Nothobranchius furzeri: one gene and its partners. The protein of the gene in region 3 purifies or fractionates together with the protein of the main gene of each other region. This does not show direct contact. Links are inferred from orthologs where the notes say so. Each region holds a gene or a part of one and is shown on either strand. Other genes may lie near its edges. The genes, in order: gemin2, snrnp70, ddx20, gemin4, ago2, gemin5 and snrpe.

Region 1 (4,166 bases), on a different chromosome or scaffold from region 3:
ATCGGAATATTTAAAGGAATCTTTGCTCGTTCAATAACCAAATTTACACCATTCTGTGTTTCATTTCAAAGAAGAGTCAGGTTTAAAAAGTTAAGAATTTATAACGAACAATTTAAAGATGACAATTTATAACAGCTTTGATATTAAAACTTGGTATTAAAAGCAAACCTGTGTCTGGATGAAAGCTAAAATGAAATGCGTGTGTTGGATGTGTGACTGGAATCTCAGAAGGTTTCTTTCAGAGAGAAACGCGTTCTGGGTGAAAGAGTTTGTTTTGCAGCTAACTAAGTTGTTTCTTAGAGATGACAGCATCAGACGCAATCTGTGTTCTACCTCACCCATCAGGCGACCCTCTGTGTGGATCCGGAGGTCAAGGAAGGATGTTGTCAGCCTCTGGGTACTCGGTCCGGTAGGGAAGGCGCGAGTGGTACCGACTCTCTGGTCCAAGAGTTGCCGCTGGCACACAGGTGTTGAGTTTGCGTCTTAACTCTGAAGGAGTTTTGTGTCAGCTGGTGCAGGTGGCGTTTATTCGGAGCGATTCTATCAGCGTGACAGAACAGCTTAGTGGAGGCTTCGGGCGGCCGACCCTTGTCCTCTGGGACTCTCGTGCCACGGAGAGGTTTTGGTTGGTTCAGAACTGTCAGCTTGAACTGAGGAGTTTTGGGTTTTATTAAAACTCAGAACACGCCCTCTCAGAGATAGAAAGCTTTGGTTATGGAGCAAAGACATGTGAGGTGGTTACCTTTACCCTGAATTCAGTGTCCTGCATGGTGTGTATAAGTGTACATGACCTTCTTTACACTGGTAAACATTACTGATTATCATAAATAATAATTATTAACCAAAGAATAATAATTCATTTCAGTAATTAAATACATTTATAATGAACCGTGATGATTATTTATGAACCTTGTAATAAACAGTGAAAAGAGTTTATTAAAAATGATTATTTTAAATCTTGAAGTGTCCTTCATCTTAGGATGGAACAGCAGACAGATTAAAGGCAGTCAGATTAAAGATGGTTCTAGAAGACTGTGCGTCTCCTGTGATGGATAATCTGTGGACAGAAGTTCAGCCAGGACAGCGTGACCTAGCTGGGGAAGTGTGACCTTTGGGTCACAAATATGGCCATTCATGTCGCTACATGTATGCAGTGTGTAAAACTGTTCCTACGTGCAGATCTGTGCATAAGTTTGTTTGATGAATGAGGGCCCTGGAGTTCTAACAATTTATTTTCGTGCGAAAATTTAAAAAACTATATTTCCACTAGCATTAGATTTGTTGTCAACCAGCTGGAGACGAGAAGCAAACTCACCAGCTGTGGAACAAACTCTCGCTCTTCAAACCAGCTGATCAGAACATCTAACAACATGAGAACTGTGGACTGAGACAAAAATATTAAGACTGTTAAACTGGCTAAAAACAACATGGATGTCATCGTAGACCCCCGTTTACCTGGTTTAGTCTGCTTACGATGCTCAGGAAGGGAGGGAAGCCAATCTAGACCCAAACAAACCATCAGTGAGACTTCACTTCCTTGGTCTCATGAAGGTGCCACAGAATTTTCATGAGTGGCGGATCATCAAAGGATTAAATAAATACACTTTATCTGTTTAGATTGTTTGCTTTTGTGGGAGAAGTAGAATGTGGAAACATCTCAGCTTTGATCGATTTAAATCAGGTAAACTCATTCTGAGGAGTAAGCGCTCACAAAGGCAATAAGGTGTAAACAGTTGTATAACCTTGCCGTAGTCCAATGCTGGTTCTTGGTGTGCATCCGTCGGGCCGGATGAAGTTCCCTGATAAACGTTCTCCCCTAAACAAAACCTCTTCCAGCCCTCCTCATCGGTCAGCCTCGGCTGTAAGACACCAGCGTCAAGCTTGCATAAACCAAACCTCCAGTGTGATGCTGCATGACAAGATTCTTACAGGTGCTTCAAATCCACCTTAACATGGGATTTCTGTCTCCCCTTGAAAGAATGCTGATTTCGGTTTGAGTAGTGAATAAAAATCTCACCATCTGCACGTTGTCATCCAGAATTTGGCTCCTCCAGTGTTGCCTGTTCTTGGTGATGCTCTGAGAAACAAAAGTGACTAAAGGACACTGTCCAGTGTGGACATGTTCGTAACGTGTGTTACTGTGTGGACATGTTCGTAACGTGTGTTACTGTGTGGACATGTTCGTAACGTGTGTTACTGTGAAGTCTCACCTGTCTGACGTCAGAGAAGTTACTGACTTGCTGCTGTTGCCACCTGAGGCTGGGGGAGAAGCCCTGAGGAGCAGCATGACATCCTGCTACCTGGAACCAAAACATGTTAAACATGTGGTGTGTGTGTGTGTGTGTGTGTGTGTGTGTGTGTGTGTGTGTGTGTGTGTGTGTGTGTGTGTGTCACTTACCGACACATTAACAGTTTGCTTCTTCAGTTTTGTGGGATCGATCTGAGCAACGACCACCTCCGGGCATAAAGAGGCCTCCAACCTAATGAAACACCAAACTTATAAAGCTCCGTGGTCGAACATGGTTCTGATTCTCGAGACGGTTCGGCTCGAACATACTGGACCTGTCGGAGGTACTCCTGGGGGTTTCTGGGGGTTCCACTCAAGTCCAGGTTTCCGCTCCCGCCTCCGGTCTCCAGCGGCAGGAGCCTCGGCATTAACTCCTCCACGTCCGACTTCATGTTCTAATAAAGTAAAAGAACAGCGGAACCGAATCAGGTAATGAAAAACACGCAAGTTTCACTACAGCACAGTCGCCATCTTCTTCTTCTTCTGGTGTTTTATTGGCGGTTGGCGAACAACGAATGGTGCATTACCGCCACCAACTGGTGTGGAGTGTGGTCTGGAACAGCGCTCATAAAACAAAATCAAACACGGGAAAGAAAGAACAAAAAAATACATATATATACACACACATACATACACATATATATACAAATACATATATACATCAAATTCTCCCAAACATCCTTATCTCTTTTAAAAACTGAAATAAAATCAGAAAACAGTCGCTTTTTGAATTCTGTCGGTCTAGTTTCACTTTGATCTGTCTAAGATTTTGAATCAATGTCCTTCTTCCTGCCTGATACTTCCGACATTGTAATATAACATGAACTATAGTTTCTTCTTCTCCACAATAATCGCATTTCCCTGTATTATGTTTCCCCATCATGAATAACGTATTGTTTAACCCAGTATGTCCAAACCTCAGTCTAGAAATGATCACCGCCTCTCTCCTACTCCTTCCAGTGTTTCTTATTTCTCCTACTCTTCTTTGAATTTTATACAACCATCTTCCCCTCCTTTCCTCCTCCCATTGTTTTTGCCATTTTTTCTTCATTTCTCGCCTTTTTATGCTCTTCATCTCTTTCTGACAAAATCGAACATCTAACTGAACCGAAGTATTTATTGTAGCTTCCTTAGCCATCTTATCGACTCCTTCATTTCCACTGATTCCACAACGAGCTGGAATCCATAAAAAATGTACTTTAAGTCCCATCGTGTTTATTCTATAAAGTGTTTGCTGAATCTCTAGGAGTATGTCTGGTCTGCTTCCTGAATGGCTGCACGTTAAACTGGTTAATGATGAGCTGGAGTCTGAACAAATAACTGAGAATAATGGTCTGTTTTCTTCCACCCATCGAACTGCTAACAGGATTGCGAGAATCTGTATAAATTTTTACATAGTTATAATAGTGATCGATATAATCCTGTGCTGTATGTGAGTTTAGTATGAAAGACTTATCCATATTCTTTCTCTCTAATAATGATAAATCAACAGACGCCTCAGGAAGAATCCATGGCGGAACAGCAGGTAATGGAACTCTTTGACTGATTGTAAACCGATCTCATTTAAGTTCTACTGGTTTTTTGATCATCACCCATCCAAAACTTGTTGTTTCCTTCTTTTCTTTCTCCCAGCAAGGTTTTGGTATGTCTCGTGTTGGATGATCTTCTTCCTGACCCTGAAGATTTGCCCAATAATTTAAAGCTATTCGTTCTCGTCTGATTGCTATTGGCATCTCACCCGTCTCTACCTGTAACGCTGCTATTGGGGTTGTTTTAAATGCTCCAGTACAGAGTCTCTGTGCCTGATTCTGGATAGAATTTAATTTTGAAAGAGTAGTTTTTGCTGCTGAATTATATGCCACACACCCATAATCTAATA
Region 2 (3,500 bases), on a different chromosome or scaffold from region 3:
AATCAAATTCAAAAATACTTAATCAATCTCAGACCTGCTGTAGTAGCTCAGAATAAAAATAATAGTAAGTCATCAGAGAGTTGTATATTACAAAGATCAGCACATAGTGCGCCAGTAAAAAGTGTTTGAATCAGTAAAAAATAATGAATTGAGGAATTTAATGAATCGAACCATTCGATGATTTGTTTCAGCCCTACCCATCATACACACACAGGCCACACATACATACTGGTAAGCAAATGCAGGCGCACTGATACAACTAGGGTTGCAACAATGATATATTTTGGTGATACGATTGCAGTCTGAGAAATAGTCACATTATTTTACATGAATTGATTTCACATCTGTATTAACACATGTAAATCACACACACATTATTTAAATTATTGATAAAGGGCATGATTACATTGTATAAAGGTTTTGAACTCCTGAAATATTTATTGTTCCTTTTCAGAGGTTTTGCTTAGAAAAATTCACTCTACTACTGATTTGCAACGTTGATGTTTTACCTCCACAAATAAAAAGAAAGAAAACAAATCTTTTATGTAGCGCCTCTCAAGATAAAAATAACAAGCCTGGAGGAGTTTTGTTGTGTGGTGGAGTTGCTAATGGTTAGCTTCTACTAGCGGACACGATCTCTGCTGTTTGCTGGTCGCTAAACGAACAACAGCCTTTCCCGTCGTGAGTCAAGATGGTGAGTCCATGAATGATAGTGACAGTGTGACGTAGATCTGTCAGGATTTTCTAATCCTAGACTTTCACCGTCTGTTTTCTATCGGAAGCCAGTGTTTCCCCTACACAGGCTCAGGCGCCGCACCACGCCTAGAGATCCCCACACACAGACGCATGGAAGGGAAGCGTTCCGAGCGCATCGACTCTCCGCTGACAGCGACACGGTCCGCGAGCAATTGACATTGAGAAACACCCATGAATCCAAACAGTTTACAACGCTGATTCTGTCCACATAGCGGTTCCGACGTCTTTAACATATTCCTGTATCCTGCATCCTCTGAGATTTTAACGTCCCTTCTCCCAACTCTGCGACGCACGTTTGTTTACACGGTTTGTTTACACTGATCACGAGCCCCATTGTTTGAAAGGCACAGAGAGCTATCGGGATAAAACACCCACTGCTATTAGGTGGGTTCCTCTACAGACTGTTATGGTAGTCACACTAGAAGCTCTGCACCGACCCAACCAAGAAGCATAAACTCAGCTTTAGATAACAGTTGGTTCACTTTAGACCAAAACTGGATAAAAACTAAGAACCATCTTACCAAATGAGTTGTACCGTGACTCACCATGACCAGAATTGAAGACTAGCAATAAAAATGGACAGACCTCACAAAGCTAGTCATATGACAAAGTGGGATTCAACGAGTGTCGAGCAAAAGGCTCCATCAATGTTTGGTGTCCAGTCTGACCTTGAGCTTACCATCACAGTCCAACCAGCAGAGCGCCTCTTCCACAGAACTACAACACCTCTCAGTTAACAATGTGCCCTTCGACAAGCAAACATGTTCAGGTTCACAGATAAAACACACTCAGACCTCCGTTATTACGCTCCCCAGATAGATCACTCTGCCTCACCCTCCCACAAACCCAGGTTTTAACTAACCAACACATCAGACATGCCCAGCAAACACGCACGCACAACAGACTATGGCTTCATGCAAACGGTTCGCCTGTAAACTGTCATCTGCTGACTTGGATGGTATGACATCATCTGCCCCATCAGATGGTCCACCCAACAACTGTAGCTAAAAAGTTTTTAAAGTAAATTTAAATGAAAAAAGTCCCTTTTGTCAGAGATGACCCCATGAGTGTGCTGACATACAGAATGAGCTGGCTGCAGAGAGGTTGGTACTCACAGTGCATGTCCCGCTCATGCTCATACTCAATGAAAGCATAGCCGCGGGGCTTTGCCGTCTTCTTGTTGTAGACTATATAAATCTGGGAGACAGAAACATGAAGACATTGGTTAGCTCAACCATTCAGACCAACACCAAGAGCGGTGTCAGCCCGGTTCCCATAACAACACCATCCCACCTTTTATGTACGATTATGGTACTTACAGCTGAGGACATGAATGAATAAATACATTTTACTTAAGTGTCATGCACAACACGTGCCCAGTCCATAAAGGCTCATAAGACACTATTTACAAAAGAAGAAATGGACATACGCTTACAAAATCATTAGACACAACGGGATGAAGTACCTGTTGTCTAGGTTTTAACACTATATGTATTTATCAAAAAGCCAACTTCACATTTTGCCATTAAATGACCAAAATACATCAGGATTTTTACTCTGAATCTTTTCAAACGGACAATCGGAGACTATTGTTATACATCGGGACTATAAACAGGGAATGAAATTCATCTTCTAGAACATCTAAAATCACACAAACGCTGCTCCTCCTGTAACCCTTTGCATCGCCCCACTGCAATGGCGAGAGGCAGGACCCTCGTGCGCAACTGTGCACAAAGTGATTGTTGCCTATTTTTAGATTACAAGCAACATAAGGCTCTGTCATAAAATCACTTCTGAACTGAATATAAATTTTTAAGCACATCAAATTTCCACTGGTCTTTAAATTTAAACAAATGGTGGAGCTGTTGAAAGTTTGAGTTGTAAATGATTAAAAAATAAAAATGTACATTTATTAAAGGAAATTAGAGCAAAGATATCAGATTTGTCCCAGTTAGAAACCTTTCTGGTGAGGTCTGCCGTTTGACCAGACAGGGTTCCCACCCCATCACCCTCTAGGGCCACCTCAGTAATATACTTATGAACCCCTAATAAATATCTAATAGCTCTGTTCTGGACGAGGCTACATTCAGGTGCACCTGACAAATGACAGTACGTTTTCTATGAGGTGCAATCTTTCTTTAAAAAACCCTTTTTAATAAAACACTGGTAAATATCACTTATGGGACGCAACATCATATTAAAATCAGCCCACATTTTCACATGGGTGCATCCCTATGCAAATGCATTCTGCAGATCAGCCATGAACTCACTCGTTTGATGGGACCGTAGACTTCAAACTCACGACGAAGCTTGGACTCCGTAGTGTCATAGTTCTGGAGGAGAGACGGGGTTACACCCAGCATTAGCAGCGGTGACACACTCGTTCTAGAGTTAACACTAAGGACAGGTTTCATACTAACCACTCGGGCAACAAACAGCGTCTTGAACGCATCCCCTTGTGCATTTGGGTCATTATGGGGGTCCCCTGAAATCACACATACAACATAGCGTCAACATAAACCCTTGCACCACAGCACACATCTGATGTCCCACTCACAAAGCTTCAGTTCTGTCTCCAAAACCGTCTGGCGTCTCTCGATCTTTTCCCGCCTCTGAAAAACAGGACATAAAACTCTTGAGTCACAACAGGAAAACAAAAGGATGCGTGACATGATCCAGACCTGCCGCTGATGCGTTTTCTGAATGATGATCTGATGGGTGTCAAATATAGAAACGAGGGCTTC
Region 3 (3,937 bases):
ACTAAGACTTAAGTGGGATCTAACAGGGCCCAGACCAGCAACTGAACTTGCAAGTGCGGTGTTGTGTCCACAGGGGCGGTGATGGTCCAAGTGACATTTCATTAAACCTGTAACGGGTCATTTTAGCACATACTGGCTCAAGAAAATTATTTTAAAATATGAAAGAGTTGCATAGACTCCCTTTAAAGTGACGGTGTGTATTTTTCTAGCGATAGGGACAGTAGATACCTAAATCGTTGCAAACAATCGGTATTTTTGTGTTGGCGTAAGACTTTACCATTAGGGTCAAAAAGCCCTGGGGAGTGCAAACTTTAGCACAATACCAAGCACATCAGACTCCCTTTCATCACTGGCAACAAGCACATCTAAATGAATGAATGAATGAAAACTACTAATTCTCAAACAACATATTAAAGTATTTCTCTGTTGTCTATTTGACTATGTTTTTATTATTGTAATGACTTAAATAATCACACTTTACTCTTCATTTTAGTGCCATTTGTCAAATTAAACTGTTCTATTAATCGACCTTCCTTAGAAACCACAGTTTACCCTCCTCACCTGATATACAAGCCGCAGGTAGACCTTTGGAGGATAGGATGTCAGCCAGGTGTTGAGCTCTGTAGGTGAAATCCAGCACAGAAGCATCTCAGAGATGAATCTTAACTTACAAATCTGAATGTGTGTTTTTTTTTGTTAGTCTGTTTTAGTAATAATCAACAGCAGCTGTAACGAGGAAGAAGACCGTTAAAGCTGTAGTTACCTTGTGTGCAGGTTTGAAAACACTAAGGCTTGGTTGAAGGGGATTTTACTGAACAGCTCCAATAAATGCAGCACCTTCTCCTCAAAAATCTTGTGAGGTAGAGGATGGGAGGGCACCAGCTTGTAATACTGCTTTAGACCTGACACCAGGAATATATTAAAATTATACAGTGTAAAATAACCCATAATGGGTGGATTTCTTCTATGAAACTGCTTTCCCTTTAGCTTTCAGATCATTACCTTTCAGGCCCATGTCACTTGGATTCAGTCTGACAAAGGTGGGCTCATTCATGTAGCGGGTGAGGTACTGAGCAAGGGATTCTGGGTAGGTGGCAGAAAGTGCAAGCATCTGTTTGTTTACAGGCAGCGAGGAGAAGATCCAGCTGAGAGACAGCAGAAAGATGGGTGAAACTCAAATACAATCACTTCCGTGTTTGGATCTCAGCTGTTTGCAGCCTGGTGCTAAACATCAGTATAAAAAAAGAAACTAAGTCCAAATTACTTAATCTGTTCCTGGAAGCTTCCCTCCTCCAGCAGCTTGTCAGCCTCGTCCAGAACAAACAGCCTGATGCTGGCTGTAGACAGCATACCCAGTTCAATGAGCTGCTTGATGCGACCTGAGCGTGCAAAGCAAAAATGTTGTGACCAAACAAACGAGCAGCACGGTGATACAGCTCCATCCCTCCAGCCTCTTACCGGGAGAGCCCACAGCAATGTGACACTTCTTCAGATGGGCTTTGTCTTGACTCACAGGTCGGCCCCCGATAAAAACATGACACTCCAGGCCCTCCATGGCACAGCCAATGGCCATCACCACCGAGTGAATCTGTACAGCTATCTCACGCGTAGGGGCCAAAACAAGAACCTGCAGGAGGCAGAAAGACTGGTCTGTGTTAAAACTTCAAAATATCTTAATCATGAGATTAAGATATTCCAAACCAGAGTGTTTCTGATCATCTGCTGGTGGCAAATTGAAGTTTAGCAAAAAAGTAATTTACAATTGAAGCATAACTGAAATTCCCTCTTGATCTCATGCAACACTCACCTGAGTAGCTGGATTTTCAAGGACAAGGGAATCCAAGGCAATGGTGCAGAACACGCATGTCTTTCCTGTGCCAGACTTAGCTTGCACAATCAGATCTGAAACAGCAAATTTAAAAAAGTCAGACTCCAGACACACACAATCGTAGCTTAGATTTGAATTAATTGGGTGAAATCAATCAATCAATCAATCAAAATGGGCAGTTAATATGCTGCTTCATATCATGTGACCTAAAATTGGGATTTTTTTAAGTTTGGCAACTAATACCAAAACGTAGGCTCATATTAATGTGCGTCTGTTGAAATTATTCACTCATAACGTTTTTATTACATTTAAGAATTATTCCCTTGGGTGTAAAATTTAAATGAGGAGTGAAAATATTTATGCAAAGCTGCTAAAACTATAATCCACTGATCGAAATACAAAGTAACACCAACTGTTCTCTGTACACACTGAGCAGATGGGAGTTGGAACTAAAGCCTCAACAGTACAGTTCAGACATTAAGTTAATTCCCACACTAAAGTTGGTTCAGAGTGTTTCAGGCTACCATTGCGACATTATGTTTTGATTTAAATAAACAAGTAATTTCACGCGTTTCTGCAGTTTTCAGGTGTGACTCTTAGGTCACCTTCTGTTTGACAGAACGAAAATTAATTCAAACAACCTGATCGTGACAAGCTACAGCGACACACACACGTGTGGTCTAGCCTTTGCATCTGATCTCTGGACCCACCAAGTCCGCAGCGGCCGAGGGGGATCGCTTTGAGCTGGATCGGAGACGGTTTCTGGAAGCCAGCAGCGGACAGCCCCTCCAGAACAGCCGGAGACAGGAGCAGAGAGGTGAAGTCGATCCCCTCCGCCAGAAGCACGTCTTCGGTTCTCTTTCGGGTACTAATGTCGTGAGCGGCTTTCTTCAAGGAGGCAGCCATGATTGTTGTTCAGCAGCGGCCAAAGGAGAGCGACGTTAACAGCGCTTTAGAGCAGTGATTTGTTACACTGCTCTCTAGCGACAGGGAGGAGAGGTGCACTTGACTTGAAAGCGTGACAGTCAACCATCGACATTTATATACGCAGTCAACGCAGGATGAGCGCAGGGCCGGCTCTAGGTAATTTGGTGCCCAAGGCGAGACTGCCCATTAGACCTCCCCCCCCCCCCCGTGCCCACACGCCTCTCACCCAAACCCAAGTCCACCCACCCACCACACATTGGAAAAAGCAACTCCACAGTTATTCCTTAGTTACTAATTTTTTATTTTAAATATTCACACAGCAGCTCTTTAAAGTCAACAGCCTGAAGACTAAATGTAAGCTTGAAAGATAAGTAACCTGAGAATATTACAATAACAACTCAAAATGTTGTGCAAATGTCATGGGGGGGGGGGGGGGTGCAAAATCAAAAGCAGCATTAAACTGTGCAATCAAAAGGAAAACTCAAACATCAGTGTCATCATAAAGAAAGTTCTACTTTCCATTTTGTTCAACTGCTGTGACCAGTCAGCAGGATCCATGGGGCCAGCAGCTCATACATGTTCACAGACATCTGTTGAAGCTGATGATGTCTCTTCAGGCTGTTGGACTGGAGCACTGGAGTGCGCTGGTGTTGGGTTCTTCTGCTGTGAGAAAATAAACAAACACACACACACACACACACACACACACACACACACACACACACACACACACACACACACACACACACACACACACACACACACACACACACACACACACACACACACACACACAAAGCAACTTAACCCTCTGATGCATTAATTAAGAACAGTGCCACTTTCACATTCAATATTCCTCTGTCATGTGCAGTGATGCTTTTCATTATTTTTAATGTTACTGGACTTGATCGTATGATCAATGTAAACAGCTAGCGAGGGTCCGTCCGTGGACCGTGCGTGGCAGGAGAGGCAGTTAGCTAAAATTGTAACTCAAAAAGTTCCTTTGCCAAATTTATAAAGTCTACATACCAGGCACGTGCAGAGGGGGGTGCGGAGGGTGCTTGAGACCCTGCCCCTTTTGTCCGAAGTGCCCAAAGTGCCATTTTTCCGGTCGTTCGTCAGATTTTACCGTACAAAATTGTTATACTGTGATACAAATCGGGCACTAGGACCATGCGGAGG
Region 4 (4,172 bases), on a different chromosome or scaffold from region 3:
TCAGCACCGACTCCAGCAGCTCCTTGGTGTCCATGGAGCTCAGGTGGTCGCTGTCCTCCGACGACCGCTCCCAGCACCTAACAGAGATCAGATGAGTAGAAGCCCAACAACAACCGCTGCACACACACACACACACGGGATCATACACACATGAGAGTCTGGTTGTACTGCTGGGCCAGAATATAGAGGAGGGGGAAGGGAGAGCAGTCCAACACCCAGTGAGGGGAGGGGGCTACTTCCTGGACACCCACAGCCAAAGCAGCGTGGAGGAGCTGCAGACTCAGTTCTGCATCGCAGGACTCTTCAGCTGCAGAAACACAGATGGGACAGCAGCAGAATGTGACGAGCGTTTACAGATCACACACAGATGAGATTAAAGCCAGCATGGACCCCGACCTGCAGCTGAGAGGCGAGGCAGGACCAGTGTGTTGACCACCTCCTGTGGAGACAAGAACCTCTGTGTCTCTTGCTCTCCCTGGAGCGTCGGGCCCGGCGCCATGAGCAGAGACAGGAACTTGAGGAGCTGCTCCTTTTCACAGGCGGACAGTGGCTTGCCTCTGACCGCCGTCTGTAAACACCTACAGAACAGACTACCACGCCCTCCAGCTTCCTGCTGCTCCACATCGTTTCCGTTTGCCTCATCCTCCCCTCCCCTCCGTCCGCGGAGTCCAGGCAGCTGCTGCAGGATCTTTGCCATGAGGCTGAAGGCTCCCCTGTTGAAAACGGCGGCGTGGCAGCAGGACCTTAAAGCCGCCTCTGGGCTCTGAAAGGCCACTCGAGCTACCAGAGAGGCTGCTGTGGTCAGGCGGCCCTGGGACACTGCTGCTGAGGCCCCGCCCCCTCCCTGGATAAGGCAGTTAAAGGCCATGTTCAGCTCTTGCTCAAAGCCGTCTGCCACAGCCGAGGGGACAGAGCAGCCAAAGAAGCCCCTGCTGGAGCGGCTCGGTACTGCAGCGAGGACCTTGTTCTGGTTTTCTAACGAAAGAGCAGAGAAGACATCTGCAGCCGTTTTAATGGCTCTCCTGCACCAGGTGGTGTTCACGTTCCCACGCTGCAGGCGACTCACGAGGGTGGAGGAGAGGCTGATGAGGGTGTTGGGCTGCGTGAAGGCCGTGTGGTTCTTCTCCAGGCAGTCCACCCACAGCTCTTCATGAGTCCAGGACAACTGGCTGGCAAACAGCGCAGCAAACTCCTCACAGTCCTCCAGGCGGTGACTGATGACGGTGGCAGCGACCTGAGCCTGCACCTGAGGGGGGGTCTCTACGGCAGGAAGAGACAGTGAACTCAGCAGACCTCTGAGTGTGCTCTTCTCAGTCACATGCTCAGATGTTCCCGTTTCTTCTAGAGCTGCCAGGACTCTCTGGACGCTCTGCTGCAGCAGGAACGCGGAGCAGCCAGGAGCGCTCAGGAGATCCTGTTCCAGCCAGAATTCTGTGAGTTCTGCTACGATCTTCAAAGCTTGGCTCAGCGTCATCCTGCTGGGCTGAAAAGGAGCTGGTGAGTGAGCAGCACGCAGGTCTCTCAGAGCCTCCTGAAGGAGTTTGGGGCTCCACGCCTGCGTCTGTCCTCTGGTGTCAACAAGCCTACAGAGGATGAGCAACTTCTCTTCAACTGGAAGCACAACCTCTGGGTCTGTTAGGAAGGATGTGTAAAGAGCGTCGAGGCAGACTAACAGGGACTGCAGGCACAAATCTGTAGTAGATACTTGATCTTTCATGTTCTTAAGAGCATGGAGGAGAACGTGCAGAACGTCTGTGTTTGCTGACGATGCAGGAAGGTCCAGCTTTAAGCGTTTTGCAGCCTGAGGCGAGACACTGGGACAATCGGAGGACAGGCGTGCAAACTGGCTGACAAACATCATCTCTAAGTCTTTGTCTTCCTGCGTCTGACATTTGTCTCTGCCTTTCCACAGCTCCCACCACACCTCCAACAGAAAGCAGACGTCTTCAGGACTGGGATCCGTCCTCAGATGCTCTGCCAGCGTTTGCAGCTCGGTGCAGATCTGCTGCTGAGGCAGACGCAGGAGCAAGCGGGCAAAGACCGGCGCAGCTGAGAGTGACTTCACCAGCTCCAGCAGAACAGCCCGGCTTACGTCAGGGAGGCCGTTCTGGAGGCAGAAGAAAGGGTTGTCCCTCCACCCCTTCTCCACATCTTCCTCAGCCTCACTGCTCATCAGCTTCAACCACACCACACAAACAACCTTCTTCTGCCAGGCCAGAGCGCTCAGCCCACAGGTGTCTCTGAGGGCCTGCAGGATCGGGAGCTTCACACGACTCCAGTCCGCCTTCTGCATCAGGGACAGGGATGAGGGGAGGCACAGTTTGTCTGCCTGGAGGAAAGCTCCCTGGAGCACGGCGGAATCTGAAAAACAGGCAAGCAACAGGCTGAGACCCGAGCTGGGCCGAGATCAGCGTTATCCAGGTGTGTGTGTGTGTGTGTGTGTGTGTGTGTGTGTGTGTGTGTGTGTGCGTGTGTGTGTGTGTGTGTGTGTGTGTGTGTGTGTGTGTGTGTGTGTGTGTGAAGGGGGGGCAGGCTGCAGGTGAAGCAGGTCCAGAACGAACGACTGGCTAGGAGAGGGCTCTTCAAACCTGCAGCTTGCTGCTTCAGCCTGAGCGTTTAGCGCCATGTTCGTCTCTACCGACTGGAGACGAAGCTCGCGCAAGTTCACGAGACATGTCTAACATTAATAATTACCTTTGTCCATGGCTGCGGAGGCAGGAACATACACCCGCCCGCCTCGTGAACCAGTTCGTTACCAGGAAAGGCGCTTCCGGTTTCCAGCAGGAAGCCGGGCTGCTGTCAGGTGGCGAGGCGTCCCCACAGCGCCACCCCTGGATAGATACGGTACTGCAGCCGCATTAACCCAGCAAACCGCCAAACCTGCTTCACCTTGTTGTTATTGTTGTTGTTGTTGTTGTTTTCCTCGCCTTTTCTGTTGGATTGTTGACTGGTTTGTTTTTACTGTTGCGAGGTTTTGCGTTGTTGACTAGACACCGCGTTCACCAGTGCTGCCGCCAGACCGGAACACCGGTTCAGCCCTACGTGTGATGGTTTAAACGTTACTCGCTTTTAGTGACATTTAAAAGTGTTTTGCAGTATTTCTCCTTGTGAAACTGTCTCTGCTCGTCACGTGATGCAGCTGCATGCAAAGCAGGTTTTTTTTCGTTGTAAATGAAAGCGAAAGTGTTCTGAGAATAAATGTGCAGCTGAATGAAGCAGGAACAAGGATCAGTAGATCTGATGAATAACCATGGTTCCACCCTGCAGGATTCTTATTTACGGTTTTATCTGGACAGGTAAGTCTTCAGAAGGCTTGTATCCCTGCGAGTGTGGGGACAGTTTGTGTTTTTGGAGGAAGCCCACTCGGATCAGCTGCTTTGAGTTGTTGGTCTGTCTCCAGGGGTCTACTGTAGCCAGCAGATACTATGGCTGCCCTGTCACTTCACAGATGAACAGGTGATTATGAACAATGAAGGACATAGAGAGACCCAGCGGATCCCCAGAAATGCTGTGCTGCAGTTTGGTCAGACAGGAGAAGCTCCTGTAGATCTACGCACCATCACTTTTCAGGTCACAGGTAAGCCACCTGACACAGGTCACCATTACACACCTGACAACGGTTGCACCTTACTCTTCTGTGTTCTGCTGCAGGGTCCAAGGTGGACATGCGGCACTATGTGGAGGGAGTGGAGGCAGAACAGCTGGAGTGTGAGCTGCGTAGATACAGCACACAGGGCATCTATGTCCACTGGCCCAGTCAGAAGGCCAGGGAGTACAACCACTGGTTCTCCGTCTCTCTCAAACACAACCAGGGCCTTTTCACTGTGCTCGGCTTCCTCAGACACCCGTCTGACCAGCCTCCACCAGGAAAGCAGGACTACCTCAGCTGGGTTCCCATCACTGATGGACAGATGCTCACTACATCAGGTCAGTTAGTTTCACTCCATAATGCCAACAGCTCCAGTTCTGGTTCTTTGATGGTGTTTCTCTGTGTTCTGTCTTTGTCCATCTGGTCTCACAGTTGCCATGGTAATGAAAACAGAAACACCACTGGTGAAAACCAGCCTGAGATCTGAACAAAAGCTCCACTGCCAGTTTAGTGTGGACCACCGGGGAGCAAACACCACTGTGGAGTGGCACTGGCAACGCCGCGGGGAGAGGACCCGACTGTT
Region 5 (4,073 bases), on a different chromosome or scaffold from region 3:
AACTAGACATTTCTTTAATTTACTGGGAGTTTCAGTGGCCAGCACATTCAGTTATCCACACTGAGGTATTCCTATAAGCACAGCCAGGAAAATAAACAGGTTGTTATTATTATTATTAATGGGAGCTGATTATTCTAGAGGTCCTGTGATATCGGAGTGTGTCAGAACAGACACAGACTCCTTCACTGCCTTATCTCCACTCTCCAGTTCTGGTCATTCATACAAACACCCTTCGATGACCCTGATGCACCGAGCAGACGACCAGCTGACTGAAACACCAGTGACGTGCTTTCTCCCCCCAGGACTCTTACACCACAAAGAGAAGCATCTCAGAATTGTCTCTGGTGTCAATTTAATAGAAACATGTGGAGTTTTTATAAGATGTGCAGGGTATCTGCAGGTTTAAGGGAGCCAAATTTAGAAATTCACGAAAATTTTTATAGAAATAAAATAATCTTGTTTATTGGGTCTTTGGTAATTTAAGACCATTGGAAACTGGATTTAAGGATTATTTGTCATTTTTAAGGATTTTCAAGGCCTTAAATTTGGAAAAGTAAATTTAAGACTTTTTAAGGACCCGCGGATACCCTGGATGTGAGTAAACGGCTCACATGACATCAGCACTTTGCGTTTTGGCTGAACAAAGCTTAAATGACTACATCAGTATAAGACATACAAAGTCCTTCACAGAAAAAAAAATCAGCATTTCACAGGTATAAGCTCCAAAGCCCTGCTGAAATACTCTGTAGATAATTTAATAATCTAATCAGAAGTTAAACTGTGTAGAGTGCATCTCATTATGACAGAAAGGTGTAATATATATATATATATATTTATATATATATTTTTTTTTAATATATCATGTTTCTCCTGGGACCAGAGCTTAGAAGTAAGAAAGCTTACCAGAGCTTATGGACCCAGAAGAATGTGGCCTCTCCATAACCTCAGCACCTAGAGGGGATAAAATTATACGTTAGAAATGTTTAAGATCCAACTTGGACTCAAGTACTCTGTACTTAAACAAAAAAAAGCACCCAACACAAAACAGAAATCTAGTTTTACAGCATTAAATGCAAATAGAGTCAGAAATCTTTATAAAAAACCTGGAAAAAAGAAAAAAAATCTCCCATTTTAAATATTTTTTAATTCAGAACATCGTTAACTATTTCAGACGGTCTTTTATCACATCCCGGCCAGCACCATCGTCTGCAATGAAGTATGTCTAATCTACAAACACACAGACGGGATGAAACGAGCTGGTAATCTAGCATAAATGTAGCCACCCGTTCATAAGGAAACAGCCCAGAACTGATACAGTTCAGCTCATTGTTTAGTTTTATTTCAATAAGGCTCATGGAGAAGAACAAATGCCTGAAGGTATAGATGCAAATGAAATATGGCAGAGGTGATTATTTTCAGCCTCTGCATAAAAAAGTTAAACTGCTTATAAACTTTTCTCGTTAAATTTCTGCATTTTCCTTCCTACCTCAGCATTTAAGCAGATAACTAATCGCCATTATTCAACTGTTGATTATATATTTTTTAACCAATCCCAAGACTCCCCTGAAAATGAAGTTTTTAATCTCAATGGGACCTTCCTGGTTAAATAAAGAATAAATAAACTTAATTACCACCTGCCCTGCCAAAAAGAAACATTCTTAATGTCTTAATAAAATGTAGATGAAACATGTCTATATATATATATATATATATATATATATATATATATATATATATATATATATGTGTGTGTGTGTGTGTGTGTGTGTGTGTGTGTGTGTGTGTGTGTGTGTGTGTGTGTGTGTGTGTGTGTGTGTGTGTGTGTGAGAGTGAGAATGAGTTATATGACAGATGTTAATTTGAACCCAATCAAGCTAACTTGTTGTTGCCCATGAGCCAAACGTCATTAGTTATCCCCACTTTACTCTAACGAGCTTGTGGTTCAAAGCAGAAATCATCCCTTTTCCCAGAAATTATATTTATGATTTGCTGTATTTGTGTCGGATGTTAAAAATGTGGTCTTACGTGACAAACACATGCTTGCATTCTGGTTTTGTTTACATACATCGTCCCATCTTTGCTTAGGATGCGAGCAAAATTGCTCCAACTCTCGATTTTTTACAAATTTTGTGGGAAATGATGTAGAATGTAAATGAACTTAAACCTATTCATTTGACACATTTATGGTAACCATTTGTATGATTTGTGATTGAGATTAGGAAGCATGAGCTGCCGCTAAATGCTACTGTTAGCATGTGGCAGCTTTTAAAGAAAAAAGCAAATAAAACCCACCATGTGTGTTGAATATTATACAGTTTGTCGAGTGACTGCATTCCACCTCGTTTAAGGGCAGAGGAAGTTTACCAAGTTGGGGAAACGAGGTGCCGCTAAAGCTAACTTGGCTAATGCAGCTAAACTCGCTTTTGGTACTAACGCCTCCACTAAGTCGAGGATGCATCATTCGTTGAAGAACTTATTTTATAATAATAAGTTAATTAAAACAAAACCGGAGAATGTATCGGCAGTAGATTGATGCCGTTCTGGAAAGAAATCCATCATCCACTTAGTCGATGCTAATGGTTAGTAGCACTTACCTCCAGCTGAATACATTTTGTCGACTTTTTGAGCGTATGGTGGACGACCGGTACTCCACTTTTAGAAGACCAACCTCCGCCTAACCTCACACAGAACCTACAGACTTGGGTATTTCCAACAAACTAAGGTGAAGATAAAGAAGTTTAGTTAGCCAAGTGGTAAATATTGGAGTCTCTCATCCTCTGCACGACCCCATCCCCCCAACACAAAACGAGAGCAGAGACGAACGGAGGCATTGAAATCCCTGCGGGGCAAGAGAACTCGCTGTCGTCCACTTCCGCTGTTGGGCTTTCGTTCTCAAAACCGATCAAAGCTTCTGTTTTGTGTCATATTATCTGACATAGAATCATGATTTAATCAGTTTATTGGATTCACATGTCAGAAATGTAATTTGAATGAGCTAACTTTGAAACTGCACAAACATAAATGAAAATGTTAATGAATTACTCCTCACTATCAGACTGAAAAAAAGAGCTGCACGTTCAGGAATTCTAGTGTTTTTCTACTTGAATAAATAAGTTTTTCTGATACATCGTCTCTACCAATTTGTCGCTAACTCATTCAAACATCGCTCGTTATCTTTAACAGTGTTATTTGGCTCGATCATGGTGGAAAAGTTAATGCTCATGAATGGGGAGGTTTATCTTGCCAGCGGGAAGGTTCAGTGACATCAGACGCACGTTGCGCGCTCTTAGCGTCCATCCGAATCAAAAGCGAAAATTCGGAAAAACTATTCTTTCATTTTTCATCAGAGCTAAACTTTGATGCGACATCATTAAACTGATATCCGATGCGTATCATTTAAAAGTCACTAAAAAGAAAAAGTCACAGGAACAACTTAAAGACCGAAGAAGTATTTCCGGGGTAATAAAGCGGCTGAAATACACATTTTAGTTTGCTATGCATTAAAACATTTAATGTGATATGGGAAGCTTCAGCAATCTGAAATCAACTTGTTTGTGGTTTGCTTTTTATATTTTGATGGTGAAAATATTTAATTAAAACTTGCTTGGTGTAAAGTGCGCATGTCAGAAGTTGATTATGAATAAAACACTAAAATGATATGAGGAGAACTGATTACACAGACAGTATAGAGGTTCAGGGACTATTTATATGTGTTTGTTCTTTTTTCATGACGAGTTACACACACACACATGTTTATTAATTTTCAAAATGTCTAGTGACTATATCAAGCAGTCATTAGATGAGAGGTGGAGGACACCCTAGACGTGTCTCCATTCCGTCTCAGGGACACAGAGGGACAAATCACGTTGTTTTTGATGGGAAACAGGCTGTTTGGCTCCGTGTTATGATGTAGGTTCGGATGCACTCAAACTACGGTTTTTGGTAACAAAGGCAGACAAATTTACATTATGATGAACCAAAAAGGGTTTTTACATTTTGCAGCGGTTATCAGTCATGAAGTGTGATGTACATGATGCACATGCAGGTAATGTGGTCCTTTTACTGTGTCTAAA
Region 6 (3,500 bases), on a different chromosome or scaffold from region 3:
AAATTTAAATGTAATGAACATTGGAAATACATTGGTCTGTGTGCATTGCATGAATATAATGTACAAGTTTCACGTTTTGAATGGAATTACTGAAATATTTTCAACCTTTTGATGATATTCTAATTTACTGGCCAGCACCTGTATTTCTCCAAACTGAGGCTGTTTAAGCCTCTGCCCCAGAACCAGGATGTCAGATGATTCGTGTTTATTCTGGTCCTGCCCGTGTGAGCTAAAGACCCGAGTCAAGTGTCAGAACATCGTGTCACTTTCTTCTTCCTGCTGTTGCAGCTGGCTTTGAGGTGTGGCGCCGGACGGTGGAGGCCTTTGTGAAGCAGCTGTGTCTGCAGGAGCAGTACCTGAAGGCAGCGTCTCACCTGCTCTCCGTCAACAAACCGTACCAGGCTGTGGCGCTGCTGGAGTCCAACAAGCTCTACAGGTTCTGAAGCGCTGGACCAGACGGGTTCACCTGTAGGAACCCAGGTAGAACTGAGTGGTTCTGATGTTTGTCGGATGCTAACGGAGCGGTTCTGTGTGTCAGAGAGGCGATCGCTCTGGTTCTGGCCCGGCTGCCGGCAGATGAAGTGGTTCTGAAGAACCTGTACACGTCTTGGGCCGCTGTGTTGGAGAGAGACGGACATTTGTCTGCTGCTGCTAAATGGTCAGAACCTTCAGAACTTATGTAGAGCATCTGCTTTAGTGAACTAACGGGTTCTTCTGGTTCCGGTCCAGTTACCTCGCTGCTGGCTGTGGTTTCGATGCAGCCAAAGTCGTCTCCAGAAAGAACGACGTTCCGTCTCTGAGGACGGCCGCCAGCCTGGCCCGGATCTCCGGAGAGGAGGCTCTGGCCCAGTCGCTGGCTCTGAGATGTGCCAGAGACCTGGCTGCTGCTCACGACTGGGTCGGAGCGCAGGATGTTCTGGGCTCACAGCCGGGCCTTCTGGTGAGAACCCAACCAGAACCTTAGCGGGTCGTTTCAGGTAAAGATGCTGTTTGACCCCGGTTCTGTTCAGGTCCACAGGATCCACCTGTGTGTGGCTGAGCTGCTGGCGGCGCTGCTGGACAGCTCCGAGGTCTTCCCTCTGGCTCCCGGCGCCTCCAGCCATCCGTGGGCATCGCCAGGTCAGAGATCCACCCTCTTTCTGGACCGGGTCACTGATGTGTGGGAGGAGGAGTTCGGTGTTGGAGCCGACAGCGCAGATGTTCTGCTGCAGGACCTGAGGAGGGTGGAGAGTCCAACACCCAGCACCAGCATCCCCCTCAGACAGGTCCAGTCTGGCCCGGCACGGTCCAAAACAACAAACTTTCCATTCTTTAAATCAGCTGAAGTGCATGTGTCTCTATCGTCAGGTTCTGCTGTACTGCTCGGTCCACCTGACCCGGGCGCTGCTGAGCTGGTTGGTGGACGACGGCCAGCAGCTGTTGGAGGAGCTGTGGCGGGCGGCGTCCTGGCTCCGAGACGAGGGACACTTCTGTGTCTCTGCAGAGTTCTGCAGGCTGCTGTTCCCCGACGGTACCGAGCCCATTCGGACCTTTCCATTCACATTCAGCTCCAGATGATCAGAAACCCATAATTCTGTGTGTGTGTGTGTGTGTGTGTGGGTGTGTGTGTGTGTGTGTGTGTGTGTGTGTGGCCTACCACAGCCATCTGCTGGTGGTGATCTGCAACCATAACCCAAAACCACTGATTCATCCTTTTGGACCCGTGTGCTCACCAGAGACCGGGTCAGAAGCTACCTTCTCCATTTTTACTCTTTAATCAAACCGAGCCGTTTTGTTTTCCAGGAGACATCCGGGTTTTCTCCAGGAGACATTCCAAAACTCTTCATCCCACCACAGAAGCATCCAGTGCAGCGGCCAGCAGCCTGCAGGCGATGGTCTCCTACCACCGTCTGTACCGGTTCTGGTGGAGAGACTCGGCGGGCAGACAAGACGTCCAGAACGGACTTCCTTCTGAACAGCCAGAAGACCAGCTGGAGAACCCAGATTCGGAGGAACTGGACTTTGATGTGTCTGTCCTTCTGTCGGAGCCGCACGCCATCAGTCAGGCTGCTCACAGATCTGTGAAGGAGATCCAGGACCAGCTGGCCGCCATGGTTCTGCAGCACAACCGCGTCCTGGGGAGTCAGCTGGACTCTGGGATCCAACAGGACCAAAGTCCCTTATCAGACGGTCCGAGCGGTGCTGATGCGGAGCAGCGGTGAGGCTGTTTAACACCAGTGTCTCTCAATTTGTCCAATTATTAGATCTAATTAGATCTCACAACTAATCTGGTTGTTTATTCAGATTATTAAACAAAAACTCAGATTACAGAATTAACAAGTTCAAGTTTATTTATAAAGCGCCAAATCACGACAAGAGTCGTCTCGAGGACCTTCACATAATAAACATTCCAATTCAGGTCAGTTCATTAAGCCAATCAGAAATAATGTTTCCTATATAAGGAACCCAGCAGGTTGCATCAAGTCACTGACTGTTAGCGACTATACGGCAATCCTCATGCTAAGCAAACATTTAGCGACAGTGGAGAGGAAAACTCCCGTTTAACAGGAAGAAACCTCCAGAGAATCCTGGCTCAGTATAAGCAGCCATCCTCCACGACTCACTGGGGATCGAGAAGACAGATTTCTCTCTCTCTCACACACACCCACACACGAAATGTCCCCAGAGCTAATCTGGTGCCTGACTTTTAATTTGACCTTTGTGCTCTGTTCAGTTCGGAAAACCAGGAGACGTTTCTGTCTTTGTCCACAAAGATGTCCAAATATCAGAAGGAGCTGTCGGACCTGCCCGAATCCATCAAGGTAAAAAACACACACACACACACACACACACACACACACACACACACACACACACACACACACACACACACACACACACACACACACACACACACACACACACACACACACACACACACACACACACACACACACACACACACACACACACACACGTCTCCAGCTGCTGATCAGGAGTTAAAGCTTCATGAGGCTAAAGCAAAGCGGTGAAAACGAGTTTCCTCGTCCTGCTTTAACTCCGGACGGACGTTTACTAAACATCGTTCATTTTTTGCCGACTAAGTTCTTTCTGGTATTTTTGCTTTCCAGATGTTCCCTCGCCCAGATGTGGTGGAATGTTGCCTTGTTCTCCTTCATCTCAGCCGGTCTTCGTCATCCGTGTCCGACGTTCTCCAGGAGGAGGCCAAAGAAATGCTCCGTAAACACGGAAGCAGCCGCAGCGTTCTGAAGGCCATGCGGAGACTCTGCTCCTGATCGGAGCTCGTCATGCGCCGCTGCTGTCAAATAAAGAACTTTAGTAACGAACCCGGACTCCAGAGGGTTGATTTCAGCCGTTCCCTCCAACAGGAAGGAGAACCACTGATGAAAATGAAAACCGTTTGTTTCTTGAGTTCTAGAGCAGAGCCCGACCCGCTCCATAAAGAACAGGACAAACAAAGAGTTTACAATTAAAATACAAAACAGTTTAATGTACAACAG
Region 7 (3,986 bases), on a different chromosome or scaffold from region 3:
ATAATAAATGTCCTGAGTGCTGCCGTCTCCTCCTCTGGCCATTATTTCAGCTTTAGCTTAAAGAAAGTTTTGGTTGTAAACAACAAAGTGCGCATGTGCCGCCGGCAACTTCAGCAGATGATACGGTGGCTGGTAAGGGTCACCGCGCCTACACCGCAGCCACGGTAATCCACCGAGATAATATAGTTTTTTTTAAAAACAAGACGGTTATTACTATTGTCAACTTTTTTACCGGGGTTTACCGCTACACCGGTTACCGTGACAACCCTAGCCCTGACACACTTTCATATTCTCATGGTGCAGCTGTGTTCTCCAGAGATCAAGGACTAGGACCCAAATGAGGCTGTAATGCAGCAAAAACGTAAAAGAACCTGCTGAACTTTTCCCGCAGGACAAGTGTAAAGTTTTCATCCTACAACGAACAATACGGCACGGAGGAAGTTCAATATTTAATATGAGTTTTAGAGAAACTCTGGGCCGTGTGAGGTGAGTTTTTAAAGTTAAAAAAATCCTTTCACAGGCCCTGAAAACACTCTGAAAAACAGCCCATCCACGTGGGTATCCAGCAGCAGATAACCTATCAGGCATCCCTGTTGCATATGGAGGTAAGGAAGAATGAAACAAAGCCATTACTTACGATTATGCAGCCCTCTATCCTCATGTTGACCTGCTCATACAGCCACACCTGGATCCGTGAGCGCTGGGGACAGGCAGGGAACAACTTAGAGGTTCTTCATCTAAATAAAACCATTTCAAACTAAAGGGATAGCAACTTACATTTTGAAGGTATCTGAAGATAAGGTTCTGAAGGTAGAGTCAAGGAAAACCAACGCTCAGCAGTAACAGTACACGCACGTCTGTAGCCTACATTTGTACTCAGTTGTAGTGTTACCTTTATTCATTGCCATTAAAAGTAACTTATTACATTTTAAAGTAACAGAGTTACACTCAGCAGCTGCCAACATAAAAATCAGTACATAGGATTTGGTAACCATGTCCTGAAAATAAATGACAGCGGGGCTGGGACTGATGGTCGGACATCTCGGGCCGTGCCTTCATTCAGGTTTCACTTACAGGTTCCACTCCAAACAATCTCAATGTAACCGACCCGGCACAGAGGAGTTCTGCTCGTGTTCGGGCCAATGCCACTGACCGACTCTACTTTAGTTAGACCCAAACAAACATGTTTACACTTATTGTTATTATAAACCACAAAGGCTGAGGAAGACGAGGCTGAAGTTGGCTTCAGATCCGGGAAACCGCTAAAGGGCAATTACGCCCAATTTTTCTCTGACCATCTTTAATCTGCTCTGGCTGGAAAACTACAACACCTGCACTCTTCAAACCTGAACTGGATTATTCTAGACTAATAGCAGATTGCAAAAAACATCATTTGTGATTTGTAAAACCTTTTTCTGATTTGTGAAACTTCAAGAAACCAGATTTTAGCACGTTTTCTGCATCTAGACCACACTGAACAGCCATAGTTTCAAAACAACAATACCTAGACATTTCAAACCTGTACTGGATTATTCTGCACTGGTAGCAGAACAATTAAAATCAACTCTGATATTTGTGAAAGCTTTACTTAAAAGGCCATTTAATACCTTTTTGTGGTCCCTGGTTTCACAGCTCTGTTTCAAATATGACAGATGTTTAATTCAGGCTTTAAAAGTACTTTTCAGTAGAGGAGCCCTTAAGGAGCTCATGTATCTAACAAGGTATACTTAAGATTCATTATCGCGTGTGCACTAGGGGCACTTCGTTAGAAGGATTCAGCTAAACAGCTCACTCTAAATTCTAATAATCTGATAGCTGCTGACTGTATATCTTGTAGAAATTAAATATTAAAATCCAAATTGGTAATGCGACCCGTGTTTCACCCGATAATAAAATGTTAAACATGAGAAATGACCAGAGCCTAACTGTTTACAAAGCCCATTAAGATCAGGATTAAACTGATCAGCTATTAAGTGCTGCAGATAAACAGACTTTAACTTTTCATGTAAAATACCAAAAATAAAATTAAAACTCAGAACTTCACCGTCCAACTTCAATGTTTAGTTCATCCAATTCACATGTGATGAATCATGGACTATTTAAACTATGTTCGAGTAACCTGCCATTAGTCTAGGATATTGCAGTACAGGGCTGAAGAGCGCAGGTGGTGTCGTTTTCGAGCTAGAGCAGATTAAAGGTGGTCAGAGTAGAGAATAATTTGCCCTTTAGCCATTTCCCGAAGAGGTCGGAGGGCAGCTGTACAATGGCGTCCTCAGAACCTTTTCGATTACAACTGCAAAGTCCTACAAAGTACTCTGGATAACCGATGCTTCAGGAGATCAGAAGCTCCCATCACCTCCAGCGGTACAGCTAACCGGAGCCATTAGCATTAGCGGCGCTAGTTTTGCTGCTAAGTTCGCCTCGGGGCCGTTTCTTTTTCTCCGACATGATGCGGAACACGTGCATCATCTCATTAATTTTCATAAACACCAGAATCACACAGTTGGAACGGAATCCGCGCGTTCGTTCAGCGAACTGGGCCACCGGTTAGCCAGGCTGCTAAACACCTAGCTCCACTCACGCGTTCTCCATCATACAAAGGATACGATGGGCTGCACCATGACCTTCTGCACCTTCTGTCCTTGTCCTCTGTACGCCATCTCTCCAGCAAAACACCAACGAAATGTGTTCGGTAAACAAAAACTGCACCTTCTGGACCAAATGCACCTTAACGTTTGACCCGCGTTGAGAGCTAGCTACAATGGCAGGTTTCCGCGCGAGCAGGATCTTTAACCGGTCTGATTAACCGATTTTTAACAAACAGCAACGGAACAGCGCCTCCGCAGGACGGAGGACTCTACTGCAGCAGCCTGTTCGTTTTAGCACACCCTCAGGTGCCAGACATCAGAGCATGGAGGGAAAAAAGCAGGTTTCATTCAAACCCCATCAGACTTCTGACTTCATACCGTACCAATTTATTTATTTCATTTAAAAGCAGCATGGGAGCTGACCAAATGCGCATAACAATACAGTAACAATAAAACTCATAAAAACACCAATAAATCAGCCAATAAAAGCAGATAAAAACTACAATCAAACACACAATAAAAGAGAACTTTAAAAAGTCACAATCTGAAAGCCAAATCATAGAAGAGCGTCTTCAGCCGTGTCTTGGATGATGACTGATGGATAGTGAGTGACAAAGGCTCGCTTCCTCTTCGGGAGTAGCAGGCAGTGAGCAGGCCGCACTGCATCAAAGGTCTCAGAAAAAAGGTCTTGTAGCCTGACTAAACTTTTCCTGAGCTCCTTTTGTCTGCCAGACTTTTTTCTGAGACCTTTAGATCTGATTACGTAGTCAGAAGTCTGATGGGTTTGGGTTTTTTCTCTGTGGTCTGGATGGCTTTTGTGTCCCCAGAGGTGTTGTTCCAGGATTAGATCCGATCACGTGATTGGCTTGTTGAGTTGAGCTCATACCTCCTGGGGGTCAAAACAAAGTTGTATGCGTATATTTTGTAGTGTGTCGTCAGTCTGGGGCTTTTGGCCTCTAGATGGGGCTGTGTCACTTTCCAGATTTTACAGTCCATTTGTAAATATGAGACTTGGTTAATAGATGGACAAAAACAGAGTTAATTCCTCATCTTGATGTGTATAAAGCCCCTCTTTTCCCAGGAAGAAGGCCTTTAAATCCTGAATCTGACCATTGCTGGACAAAGCCGTTCCCCGTGATATTTATAGGTGGTTTTATAAAAAACGGGGTCTGCCATTTCTCTGTTGTGCACAGTAAACCTGTAACATGATGAGCCGAGTCAAGGAACACAGCCTTGAGTAGTTCACAATAGTATTAATAACATGCAACACAGGCTTGTCCCTGCCTCACAGAGGAGAAAGTGGGTTGATAATTAGCAGCCGAGGACAGACAAGTCTCTGCGAGTGGGGGGGAAGGCAAGGACCCTTGGTGGTGCAGGCCAAGGTGTCGCCTTTCAGGA

The links.
Region 1: the proteins of ddx20 (region 3) and gemin2 purify together in Homo sapiens (affinity purification with mass spectrometry; 6 studies listed by BioGRID and IntAct, counting the BioPlex papers as one, with this or other methods). This does not show direct contact. The link is inferred for Nothobranchius furzeri from reciprocal best matches to the Homo sapiens genes DDX20 and GEMIN2.
Region 2: the proteins of ddx20 (region 3) and snrnp70 purify together in Homo sapiens (affinity purification with mass spectrometry; 4 studies listed by BioGRID and IntAct, counting the BioPlex papers as one, with this or other methods). This does not show direct contact. The link is inferred for Nothobranchius furzeri from reciprocal best matches to the Homo sapiens genes DDX20 and SNRNP70.
Region 4: the proteins of ddx20 (region 3) and gemin4 purify together in Homo sapiens (co-immunoprecipitation; 7 studies listed by BioGRID and IntAct, counting the BioPlex papers as one, with this or other methods). This does not show direct contact. The link is inferred for Nothobranchius furzeri from reciprocal best matches to the Homo sapiens genes DDX20 and GEMIN4.
Region 5: the proteins of ddx20 (region 3) and ago2 purify together in Homo sapiens (affinity purification with western blotting; 3 studies listed by BioGRID). This does not show direct contact. The link is inferred for Nothobranchius furzeri from reciprocal best matches to the Homo sapiens genes DDX20 and AGO2.
Region 6: the proteins of ddx20 (region 3) and gemin5 purify together in Homo sapiens (affinity purification with western blotting; 6 studies listed by BioGRID and IntAct, counting the BioPlex papers as one, with this or other methods). This does not show direct contact. The link is inferred for Nothobranchius furzeri from reciprocal best matches to the Homo sapiens genes DDX20 and GEMIN5.
Region 7: the proteins of ddx20 (region 3) and snrpe purify together in Homo sapiens (affinity purification with mass spectrometry; 4 studies listed by BioGRID and IntAct, counting the BioPlex papers as one, with this or other methods). This does not show direct contact. The link is inferred for Nothobranchius furzeri from reciprocal best matches to the Homo sapiens genes DDX20 and SNRPE.

Annotation. Positions count from the first base shown.
Region 1 is NC_091758.1:40,480,325-40,484,490, forward strand, and holds the start of gemin2 (gem-associated protein 2), read right to left. Parts: upstream 2,801-4,166; 5' UTR 2,680-2,800; coding exon 2,558-2,679; intron 2,481-2,557; coding exon 2,399-2,480; intron 2,301-2,398; coding exon 2,211-2,300; intron 2,105-2,210; coding exon 2,018-2,104; intron 1,860-2,017; coding exon 1,743-1,859; intron 1,501-1,742; coding exon 1,456-1,500; intron 1,385-1,455; coding exon 1,316-1,384; intron 1-1,315. UniProt on the Homo sapiens protein: The SMN complex catalyzes the assembly of small nuclear ribonucleoproteins (snRNPs), the building blocks of the spliceosome, and thereby plays an important role in the splicing of cellular pre-mRNAs.
Region 2 is NC_091758.1:13,870,934-13,874,433, reverse strand, and holds part of snrnp70 (U1 small nuclear ribonucleoprotein 70 kDa), read right to left. Parts: intron 3,369-3,500; coding exon 3,314-3,368; intron 3,242-3,313; coding exon 3,177-3,241; intron 3,090-3,176; coding exon 3,027-3,089; intron 1,954-3,026; coding exon 1,872-1,953; intron 1-1,871. UniProt on the Homo sapiens protein: Component of the spliceosomal U1 snRNP, which is essential for recognition of the pre-mRNA 5' splice-site and the subsequent assembly of the spliceosome. SNRNP70 binds to the loop I region of U1-snRNA.
Region 3 is NC_091755.1:61,016,249-61,020,185, reverse strand, and holds the start of ddx20 (probable ATP-dependent RNA helicase DDX20), read right to left. Parts: upstream 2,801-3,937; 5' UTR 2,735-2,800; coding exon 2,539-2,734; intron 1,903-2,538; coding exon 1,808-1,902; intron 1,628-1,807; coding exon 1,459-1,627; intron 1,380-1,458; coding exon 1,265-1,379; intron 1,146-1,264; coding exon 1,003-1,145; intron 903-1,002; coding exon 764-902; intron 621-763; coding exon 562-620; intron 1-561.
Region 4 is NC_091753.1:62,515,987-62,520,158, reverse strand, and holds the start of gemin4 (gem-associated protein 4), read right to left. Parts: upstream 2,801-4,172; 5' UTR 2,705-2,800; coding exon 2,695-2,704; intron 2,362-2,694; coding exon 397-2,361; intron 308-396; coding exon 151-307; intron 78-150; coding exon 1-77. Other genes in the region: dhrs13b.2 (tapasin-related protein), read left to right, coding at 3,251-3,296, 3,401-3,577, 3,652-3,927, 4,022-4,172. UniProt on the Homo sapiens protein: The SMN complex catalyzes the assembly of small nuclear ribonucleoproteins (snRNPs), the building blocks of the spliceosome, and thereby plays an important role in the splicing of cellular pre-mRNAs.
Region 5 is NC_091751.1:26,608,895-26,612,967, forward strand, and holds the start of ago2 (protein argonaute-2), read right to left. Parts: upstream 2,801-4,073; 5' UTR 2,611-2,800; coding exon 2,595-2,610; intron 952-2,594; coding exon 904-951; intron 1-903.
Region 6 is NC_091750.1:72,369,291-72,372,790, forward strand, and holds the end of gemin5 (gem-associated protein 5), read left to right. Parts: intron 1-288; coding exon 289-436; intron 437-538; coding exon 539-658; intron 659-729; coding exon 730-940; intron 941-1,010; coding exon 1,011-1,265; intron 1,266-1,347; coding exon 1,348-1,510; intron 1,511-1,782; coding exon 1,783-2,197; intron 2,198-2,713; coding exon 2,714-2,801; intron 2,802-3,110; coding exon 3,111-3,275; 3' UTR 3,276-3,326; downstream 3,327-3,500. UniProt on the Homo sapiens protein: The SMN complex catalyzes the assembly of small nuclear ribonucleoproteins (snRNPs), the building blocks of the spliceosome, and thereby plays an important role in the splicing of cellular pre-mRNAs.
Region 7 is NC_091743.1:2,209,477-2,213,462, reverse strand, and holds the start of snrpe (small nuclear ribonucleoprotein E), read right to left. Parts: upstream 2,801-3,986; 5' UTR 2,661-2,800; coding exon 2,607-2,660; intron 805-2,606; coding exon 778-804; intron 701-777; coding exon 638-700; intron 1-637. UniProt on the Homo sapiens protein: Plays a role in pre-mRNA splicing as a core component of the spliceosomal U1, U2, U4 and U5 small nuclear ribonucleoproteins (snRNPs), the building blocks of the spliceosome.